Linked DNA regions of Mus musculus: region 1 is reported to be linked to region 2. The links are microRNA targets in miRTarBase. Many come from high-throughput screens and were not tested one by one. Region 2 holds a microRNA gene; the other region holds the end of a gene's coding sequence.
Evidence for each region. The annotated mature microRNA mmu-miR-505-5p reads GGGAGCCAGGAAGUAUUGAUGUU and lies in region 2 at 3,425-3,447, shown strand. An mRNA with a match to its seed (bases 2 to 7 or 8) in the 3' UTR can be bound and repressed. Matches are read on the target gene's strand: a 7mer-m8 pairs with bases 2 to 8, a 7mer-A1 pairs with bases 2 to 7 and ends in A, and an 8mer does both.

Region 1: miRTarBase lists Iws1 as a target of mmu-miR-505-5p. Seed matches in the 3' UTR shown: 7mer-m8 at 1,049-1,055.

The regions. Positions count from the first base shown.
Region 1 is chr18:32,096,577-32,101,965 of GRCm38, forward strand. It overlaps Iws1 (IWS1, SUPT6 interacting protein), which reads left to right. Exons shown (of 14, transcript NM_173441.3): 14 at 574-5,389. The coding sequence ends at 705. Among named protein-coding and RNA genes, the nearest start is that of Iws1, 32 kb to the left of the region's middle.
Region 2 is chrX:60,392,509-60,397,897 of GRCm38, reverse strand. It overlaps Mir505 (microRNA 505), which reads left to right and starts at 3,406; the gene lies at 3,406-3,495. The region is part of intron 1 of Atp11c (ATPase, class VI, type 11C); the gene reads left to right.

The DNA.
Region 1 (5,389 bases), not on the chromosome of region 2:
ACCGCCCAGCTTGAAATATTTTTAAATATTTGTTTTAAACAAAGCACAACAACAAAAACTAAGCTTTTAACTGTAAAAGCAAGTGAAAATATCCTAACAGTCGTAGCGACCACAGGTATAGTTTGCACAGGATTCTTGGTACCACTGAAGCAGAGCAGAGACACTCACCCCAAGGCTGAGTCTAGAACTTTAGCACCTCAGAGTTTGCCTGTGTTGGTTATGTTTAAAGTCTTTCTCTAATAACTTGTCTTTGGTGTTTGTTTTTTAATACCAGAATTGTTTGAAATTGTATGTCAGGCAACTAGCCTGTCAGATGTCATTGATGGGATTGGGAAGAGTATAGTCTCTGTATTTCTTCCTCCTGTCATTTGGGAAGTTTCTATGGATTGTGGCAAAATTAAAAGTAAAGCACGGACAGTAACCAGTTAATCATCACTGAGAGTTCAGTAGGTTTCTCCTAACACTTTGTTCTTGTCACCAAAGCATGTTCTGGTTATTGTTAAGTTTCAGGCTCTTCTCACTGCTAGATTTACATATTTCAATAATTTGTTCTTCAATTTTCCCCAATCTTAGTTTCAGGCATCCTCCAAGAAAGGTATCAGTCGACTGGATAAACAGATGAGAAAGTTCACAGATATCAGGAAAAAAAGCAGATCTGCACATGCAGTGAAAATCAGCATCGAGGGCAATAAAATGCCATTGTGATCTTGCCTGGGACGTGTCCCCATCTCTAAAAGAAAGAAATGCACAGTGGACTATGGAGAAAGAAGATAATTTTAAATGTCTTAGTGTGTCTCTAAATGGTTCGATTTGTATCATCTGTTGTTGTAGGACTAACATTTCTCTCCGTTGTATTTAAGACCAGTTGTCTGCTTTGTACAGAAGAGTACTTACTACTCCTGCTTCTATCAACTGTACGTAATAAAATTTCATTATGGTTTTGGGGGGTTGTCTCATCATTGTCTTAGACACTATTCTCTGTGAGATCAAAAGCCAGTCCGTTTCAGTGTGTAAGTATGATATGAGGAATTTGTCTGGCCTTTGTTCCTGGCTCCTGACAAGGAATATCTCAAACCTTTACAATTCTTGAACTATCTTTGTTATACTCTTGATTTGGCACATCGTAGGGCCCTAAGTTCGCTCTAAGACTGGTCAGCAGAAATATGCTTGACCTAGTCGTATTGCCTGTTTGATTAACCAGCCATACCTTTGTATTGAAGCTATAGTAAAGAAAAGAACTCTGGACAAGTCAGGTGCCTTGCACACCTATAATCCCAGCATTTTGGAGACTGATGTTGAAATAAGAGGGTCATGAGTTTGAGGCTAGCCTGGATTACATGGCAAGACTCTTAACTGCTCTGGATACTGCAACTATGTTGATGTGCAAAGAGAACAAAGGCACAGAAGCTCTGCACCACCCTCCATACTACTCCTGAATCTTCATTGACCTGGTTGGCTTAATTTGTATCTTTTCTAATAAGATCAGTTATAAGTATAACCTTTTATTGAAAGACATAGTGCTTTTCCAAGTTCTATGAGTCATTCAGCAGGTTTTTAAACCAAGAAATTCTTGGGAACTTGCCTGGAAGTTTATAGCTACCCTGGAATTTTCATGGTCTAAAGATATCACTTGCAGTCTATGTCTGAAGTTGGGACAGTCTTGTGGAGGAAATCTGATCCCTAGAACTGTCAATTCTTACACTAACACCGAGCATTTGGTATCAGAATTGTGTTGTATACCACTGTATATGCCTATAATCTCAGCACTTTGGAGGCAGAGGCAGGAATTTTGGGAGCTCTTCCAACAATAACTTTGAGTTACTCAAAGACTGTTCAAATAAAGATGGTATCTCAGTAGAGTTGGAAATACAACAAGCATACTTTTTATTTCTCTTGTTAGAGATGCTTTGTTTGTTTAAATCTGAAGAGTTAAGCTGTGGGGAGAAAAAGTTAAGAAAATACAGATATAATTGAAAATTAGTTACATATAGCAATTGGACAAATAGAAAAAGGAGAAACTATTTATAGTTTCTTACTTGGTTTTGAGAATTCTTAATCATGAGAGATTTCTATAGATCAAGAAAGTTTTATCAGTAACTCATTCATTACTTAAGTCCTCTTCTAGTACAAACTGGAGCCTTGATTTAAAAAAATAGATTATTATTGGCCACAATGGCCTTTGGACAATTGAAGGAATGTGGACTTCATGGACTAGAACACTCCATAAGAACCTCTCAAGCCTGGTGTGGTGACACACACCTTTAATCTCAGCATTTGGGAGGGAGAAGAAGGCTGACCTCTGAGTTCATGACCAGCCTGGCCTACAGAGTGAGTTCCAGGACAGCCAGGGCTACACAGAGAAACCCTGTCTTTTAAAAAGAGAGAGAGAAAAAAGAAAAGAGCCTCATAAAGCCTCATTAAAGTACACTCAGCATGCAAGAGCAAATGGAGTGTGAAGCAGAAACCTACAGAGCCAACAGTTACAGACTAGGTGGTGGCAAAAACTACCTCTGGCTTTGTTTAATTTCATTAACTAAAAACAATAAAAGCATCTAATGAATTCAAAACAGTTCTGACATGTAAAGCAAGTTTTTAAGAGTTATTTTGGTGTCTTGGGATGAGCTTCACGTAACACCATGTTAATGGGAGTAAATATAACCAGCAGGTGATAAGCCCTTGATTGAAGGAGATGGTTCTGCACTACTTGAAGGGAAAGATGCTAATTTCTTTATAAATTACCTTTGCTGTGTGGATTGGGGGGGGGGGGTCCCCAAGCTTGACCCATTCATTGCCTTCATAGTTTCCATTTACTATAGTTTCTAGAACACTAAAATTAGCTCCCATTTACCCTTCAATATTTTTCAGTGTGCCACATTTTATATTCTATATCCAAGATTTCTTTTGCAGAGCATGTGAGTATAGTTTATCAAGAACCTTTGTTCTCAAGCTCCATATCTAAGCATATTTCTCTTAAAAACATGTTTTGTGGCGGGGCAGTGCACATCTTTAATGCCTGCATTCGGGAAGCAGAGGCAGGTGGATCTCTTGAGTTTGAGGCCATCCTGCTTTGATTGCATTTTAGGTCAGCAAGAGCTACACAGAGAAACCCTGTCTGAGAATAGAAACAACCCATGGTTTTTAGGGGCTAGATCATACAGCTCTGTTGGTAGAGTGCTTGCCTAGCACGCACTAAGTCTGGGTTCCATCCCCAGTACCACAAATATCTGGCCTGTCACCTTGCCAACCTGGCCTGGCTACATGGCAAGAACAAAGCCAGCCTGGGCTACTTGACAGTTCGTCTCAAGATTGGCCACATTAACTTTGACCTCTTGTATGGAATGCTGGGTAGTCACTTTTTGGTTTGGGTTGTTTTTTGGTTTGTTTGTAAAATGCTTTAATTTTGGCAAAAGATTTGTATCTTTACCACTTTTAACCATACAGCTTAGGTGCATTGACTGGGTTCACAGTGGTATGAGCCACCTTCATCTTACAAACTTTAGCTGTACTGGGCACAGTAGTGCACGTTTTTAATCCCAGCACTAAGCAGACAGAAGCAGGACAATTTCAGAGTTCAAAGTCATCCTAGTCTTTATAGAGAGTTCCAGACCAGTTAAGACTTGCATAGATCCTGCCTCAAACAACAAACACCTTAGCTCCTTCCACCAGCTCTTGACAAGTTCATTCTGCTTTCTGCCTCTGATTTAGACTATTCTAGGAACCTAGAATTTAATTTATGGGGGGAGGGGAACCATGGTATGCATATGGAAAATCACAATTTTATGGAGTTCTTGCCTTCGACCTTTATTTACTTGGATTCTAAGGATGAGACAGGTTGCAAGACTTTAGTGGCAAGGATTTTGACCATTTGAGCTATCTCACCAGCCTGTTTCTATGTATAGGTGATAATGCTTTGCCTTGTGCTTTTTTAAGTGACTTTTGTAACTTTGGCCCTACTGTTAAGTCTGATCCATTTGAGATAATTTTATGTTGTAGAAAGTTTACTTTTATTTCTGTACATCTTTGTTGAAAGACTGACCCTTACTGCTCTTGGATCCCTTATCAAAACGTATCTGACAGTATGAGGGTTTTCTTGTATATTTTGCTCCAGACTTTTAGTTCATTTTGTTTTGTTTTATCCTCATTATCCTGTTTTTACTTCAGGAACTTTATAGTAAAATTTGAAGTCAAGTAATATGATTTATTCACTCCAGTATTGTTTTGGTTGTTGGGATTCCTTGAAATGAAGGGGAAAGTGTGTATGAATATGTACGTGCCTGCCCCACAGCTGCATGTGGACGTCAGAAGACAACTTTCAGGAATAGGTTCTTCTTCCCCCTGAGTTATGTGGCTTGCACTGCCCACACTTTTACCTGAAGAGCCATCCTTCTGGGCCCCTCCACTTTTCCATTCGATATGTTTGGACTCTGGGCTTCTTTGAGGTTTTGTATGACTTGTCTGTATAGCTGTCATTGGGTTTTCAACAGAGATTGGGTTACATTTGCCTTTTGAGGAAGTCCTGAGTTTTAACAATGTTAAGTCTTATGGTTCTTAAACAGAACTGTCTTTCCATTTAGAGTCCATGGTTGAATTTATTCCTAAGTATATTAATTCCTTGTGATGTTGTTATAAATTGTTCTATTTTCCTAATTTTCATTTAGGATCATTGTTCATGAACAAATGCAACTGGCAATTTTACCTCTTCCTTTCCATTTGGATACCTCTCACTTCTTCCTCTTGCCTGATTGTTAGAATTTAGTATTGGGAGAATACTAGTGATGAAATGGGCATCCTGGTTTTATGGGACTAAAGAAAGGGCTTTGTCTCTCTTCACTGAGTATAATGTGGGACCTTCATGTATGGCTTTTACATTGTTGACCTTCCTTCTACTTTTAATTTATTCAGTTTTTATTACGACAATATTTGAATTTTATGAAATGATTTTTCTGTATCCTTTGAAATCACTGGTTTTTCTTTCATCTTGGTAGTGTATATTTCACTGATGTATGTATGTATGTATGTATGTATGCATTTTTTAAATTATACAGATGTACATATGCACAAGTGTCTGTCGGTGCATACATGCACACTGTTGTGGAGGTCAAAGGACAACCCTCTGGCATCATCCACCTTGTTTTTAGAGTCAGGATCTCTGACTGTCCTGGAACTCTCTAATTAGGTTTTATTCTTCAGATGTGTACCATCACATGACTTTCCACAGATCCTGGGGACTAAACATGAGTCTTCCTGCTTGCAAGGCAATCTACTTTTACCAACTAAGCTCTCTCCAACCTATCAGATTTCTGTCATTGTTACTCTGTTAAGTCATCCTAACACTGTCAGTAAATCCTTCTTGATCATGACATAGTATCTAATACTTTTTGAATTAGAT
Region 2 (5,389 bases):
TGATTTAAACAGTCCAAAACTAAGAGTGTTTCCTAAATGCCTTCAGTAAGCATTTCTCATTTGTTGATTTTGTTTGTGTTATTGCTAATTTTCTTCCTTCACTTTTAAATTTATTCTTATTTTCAGTGTATGAATGTCTTTGCCTCTATATAGATACTGAGCCTGAATCTTCTGGAAAACCTGTCACAGTCTTTGGGGTGTGTGTAGAAATTTATTCAAATGTTTACGATGGTAAAACAATCTTATGTGTAAATCTTCTATTCCACAGCTTCCATCCAAATGCTTGTAGAAAAGATAGCCGTTAGGCCCATTTCCAGATCAGGTAGTATTCTAAAGCTGAGCCATCCCTTTAGGCTTCTGTGCTGCGCTGCGCTGCGCTGTTCCAATCCAGTCCGGTCTGGAGTGGTCTAGTCCTGTTCTGTCCTTTCCTTTCTTCCCTCTCTTTCTTTCTATTTTGAGAGAGGGTCTTAATATGTAGCCCTGAGTGAGTTGGAAATTATAAGTAGACCAGGCTGGCTTTTAAATCATACAGAGCCACCTGTTTTCTGAGTGCTGGCATTAAAAGTGTATGCCAGATTATTTTTCAGTATTTTCTAAATTTTATTTTTATGGGTATGGGTATCTTGCCTGCGTCTGTGTCTGTGAACCATGTATGTGCCTGCTGTCTGTGGAAGCCAGAAGGGGTATTAAACCACCTCTCTGGGGCAGTATGACCAGTGGCCCTTGGAAGAAGCCCTTTGTCTTTATGATGTTTAAAGAATTAGCTTGGTTTGCCAATTCAAATACTGTTTTGTTGAGTGGAAAAAAGTCAAGGCTGGTTGCTTATCAACCATGGTTGATCAGTTTTTTCAAAGAGGGCAGACATATAAGATGCAAAATAAACACATTTTTTTTCTGATGTTGTTTGAGTTTCCTGTACATGAGTAGTGCTTTAAAACAGATAACTTCTGATGTCTGGAATCCCTGAAATGGGATGCTTTCTCTGGTTGGATGAAAGAGAATTCTGACTTTTCCAAGGTAACGGGGTGCTTCACAAGTTTATTGCTCTCTTAAGATTTATTTCCTCTCCTGATGTAAGTGAAGGTCAGCAGTGATCATAAAGCAAATATATTAGTACAGCTGCAGCATATGATAATACTACTGCAGATTAATGATGAATGAGTGTTCAGCACTGCAGATATGGCACAGGATGCCTTATTCACACTGGCAGACAGCCCCTCAATTACTGCAGTGTATGGATGGATTGCCAGTTTGGCTGTCTTCTTGATTATAAAAGATGCAGTTTTTGCATGGTGTTAGACCAAGAATATCTGGTTTAGGACGTTGTTTTGTAGTTTTAATGTATAGGCTATCATTGATATCATGCCCTATACTTACAATGGAATATGGGAGGGTTGAAGATGTGTGCCTGGTTCAAGCAGGTATCATTTGTTTCTTAGGCCACATTATCTTGAGGTATTAATGTGGCAGTGTCTTCCTAGTCCAGTCTTCTTCACCAATATATTCTTGAAAAAATTCAAACAGTGTTCTTGACAATGATTTTACACTAGCACAGGTAAACTATAGATAAGATGTTCAGTAAGTACTTTTGAATTGCTTTGAACTGACTTAGTAACAAAAGCTGTCTAGTTATCAGTTGAAAAAGCAGCCACTAAGAGGCCTCTGTGTTTTAGAATAGGCTTTTTATTTTAATAAAAGCATATAGCAGAAAAAATATCCTTTTTATTGGATAGTATGTGTCTTAGTTTGGGTTTCTTTGCTGTGAAGAGATACTGTGATCATGGCAACTCTTATAAAGGCAAACATTTAATTAGGTGCTGGCTTACAGTTTCAGAGGTTCAGTCCATTATCATCATGGCTGGAAGCATGATAGCATCCAGATACACATGGTGCTGGAGAAGGAGCTGAGAGTTCTACATTTTGATCTGAAGGCAGCAAGGAGGAGACTATCTCTTGCATGCAGCCAGGAGGAGGGACTCATCTGCACTGGGTAGAGCTTGAGGACTAAAGAAGACCTCAAAACTTGCCTACACAGTGGCACACTTCCTTCAACAAGGCCACACCTCCTAATAGTGCCCATGGGCCCAGCATATTCAAACCACCACAATGCTACACCATTATTTTGAATGAGGAAAAAAATTATGCACCCCAGTAGGTGGCCAGAAAAAGTTTGCCCTTTATTGAAACTTTTTTCTATTCGTCAGAAGGAGAACCTTTAAACCATTCCCTTTTCTTGGTGTTTCATAAAACTAATTAATATACTATCTTCAGCTTTTAAAATTCTAAGTACATTTGGATGCTTTTTTTGTTAAGTACAGTTGATAAAACATTTTCTTTTTAAAAAAATTTTTACTAGATATTTTCTTCATTTACATTTAAAATGCTATCCCTAAAGTCCCCCATACCCTCCCCCCCACTCCCTTACCCACCTACTCCCACTTCTTGTCCCTGGCGTTCCCCTGTACTGGGGCATATAAAGATTGCATGACCAAGGGGCATCTCTTCCCAGTGATGGCCGACTAGGCCATCTTCTGCTACATATGCAGCTAGAGACACGAGCTCTTGGGGGGTACTGGATAGTTCATATTGTTGTTCCACCTATAGGGTTGCAGACCCCTTCAGCTCTTGGGTACTTTCTCTAGCTCCTCTTTTGGGGGCCCTATGATAACACATTTTCTAATTCAACTAATACATCAAATCTACTTTGAAGACTAAAACTGCAGTGTTAACTCTAGCAGAGCTTTGTGTTACTTTTGTTTGTTTTTGAGATAGAGTTGTCTTTATAGTTCAGATTGACCTGTACTCATTCTTTAGCCCAAGCTGGCCTGGAACTCTGAATCCTCGTGCTTTAGCTTCTCAAGTGATGTGATTATATGTATGTGCTACCATGCCCATCTGCTTTATGTCATTTTACTCACTGTGGTAAGTGTAATTTATTTGAATTCAGGATAATCCTTAGAATTTAGTACTAAGAATATAAGAATGTATAGGCCAGGCATGGGGGTACATGCCAACAAACCCAGTGATAGGAGGATAACAATACCAACTTCAGACATACAGAGTTCTAGGCTATAGCTTAGGCCATAGGGGACTCCATTTCAAATATCCCAAACTAGGAGCATGGGAGAGAGGAGATGCATATTATGAAGGATTTGCAATTGTTTGTGAAATAAATCTCACCTTTGTTTGAAGGGTGCTATATGGTATTGACATTGAAAAAAAATTACTTTTCCGAGGTCAATAAGCTAGCCAGCCTTGGAGTTGATTGAGTCTGTATATGCTACTAATAGAAATCATACCTTTTCAGTGCTTCCACAACCATGCTTCCCCATAATGAGTCATTTCTTTTCATATTGCTGAAAGCATTCCCTGTTTGTCACTTGCAGAAGAGCAACCTCCGGTAGTAAATTGATGCACCCAGTGGGGGAGCCAGGAAGTATTGATGTTTCTGCCAGGTTAGCGTCAACACTTGCTGGTTTTCTCTCTGGAGTATCACCAAGTTCGTGGATTCTGTTTGTACTTCTATAACTGCTCAGATCTCCATGTTCCATATATTTGTCCATGTTTTCCAACATTCATTTGCACCTTTCTCACATCTCATCCTGTACATATCTTAGTTCATAGGCAGTAAGTATAAATATCCTCTTAGGCAGTATAATTCCACATAGCAAGCACACTAATGAGTATTTTTATTATAATAGCCCCATATATAAATAAACATACATACGTAACACATACATATATGGAGAGAAAGAAAGTCTTGGGATAATAAATTTAGGGCAATATTTGTAACTATTCTTTTATTTTGGGATTAGTTTTGAGTTGAATAATCAAGGAAATCCCCAGAAATATATTTCTGGTTAGTCTCAAGTTTCATGCTATTTACTGGTGTAAAGGAAAAGTAACAATTTTGCAGCAATCCTGTAGATCACCAGGGAGTAGAAGCCAGTAGGGAATTGTCACAAATAAATAACAGCTGGCTAGAAAAGATTATATAAGGTATACCTGTTGTGTGAGCAGTGGGCATGTCTTTTAAGCTTCACAATTAATCTGCTTTGTGGCAATGTGGATTAAGTTGTTTGTAGTATAGTGCACAATTTAATTTACTTCAGCTCATTTTCCTTTCATTTTAAAGAAAACAGGCTGGGGAGATGGCTCAATGGACAAAAGCACTTGATTCAGATCCTCAGAACCCACAAAACCAGCTAGAAGTGGTAGTTCAAGAGTTTGTCATCCATTCAGGTGTAGTGTCACAAAGCTTTGAATTCCAGCACTTAGGAGGCAGGCAGATCTCTGAGTTGGAGGCCAGCCTGGTCTACAAACCAAGTTCCAGGATAGCCAGGACTATACAGAGGAATGTTGTCTCAAACAAAGCAAAACAAACAAACATTAAGTCCATATTCTCAGTGTAGCCTTTCCTACTGGGAGATTAGAGGCTGAGACCAGAGAATTTCTAGAAGTCTACTCACCAAAGCTGGAGCCCTTGTATTGAAGTAACATTTGAAGGTTGATACCCCACTCTCTCTTTCTCTCTCTTCCTCCCTCCCCCCCTCTTACACACACACACACACACACACACACACACATGGGTGGGGAGGGATTGACCTAGCCTTTCAAGTAACTAGGACTATGCCACTGTGCCTACTAGCTTAAATTTCTTTTCTGACAATATTTTATGAGTCATAAGCTTTTATTTGAATATTCATGTCCTGTTAAGGGCTATAGAGGATTATACGGTACAAGCTCTGTTCTTGAGATAGAAGATATACATGTAAGATCAATCTTTATATGAAGTATCTGATTGATACTGACTAGTTGAGTCAGGGATGCATGTAGCCCAGGTAGCCCAGGCTGATCTCAAACTCCCAAATCTCCTGCCTTCCCCCTTCTCAGTGTTGGGAATCGTGGACATGCATCGTCATGCCTGGCTTTGGCCTCTTGAGTAGCATGTGAAGTAGACACTTGCAAAGAGAGAGGCATCGACTCTTCTTCACTTTAGTTGACCAATACTAATCAATTTCTCGTAGTTCTACCCACATCACCTAATCAATTTCCCCAAAGTTCTTCATAATATCATGATGAGAGCTAGACTTCAGCATATAAATTTGGGAGGGAAGGGTCACCAACATCTAGTCCATAACATAGCTGGAAGAGTTGTTCAGTGCTTTGTTTCCTATGATAAAATTTATAATTTATAAAAGGTAATGATAAAACTGGATATCAAGGTGCTTTAGGTTTCTACAACTGCACAAAATTTCCCATAAACTCGTTTCTGAAATCCATGATTCCAGGGCATTACTCTGCTGATTTGGAACAGTAAAATGGGGACCGGAATGAAATTAACATTTGAGGCAATAAATCACTACTTCATACAAAACTATGTGGTTGG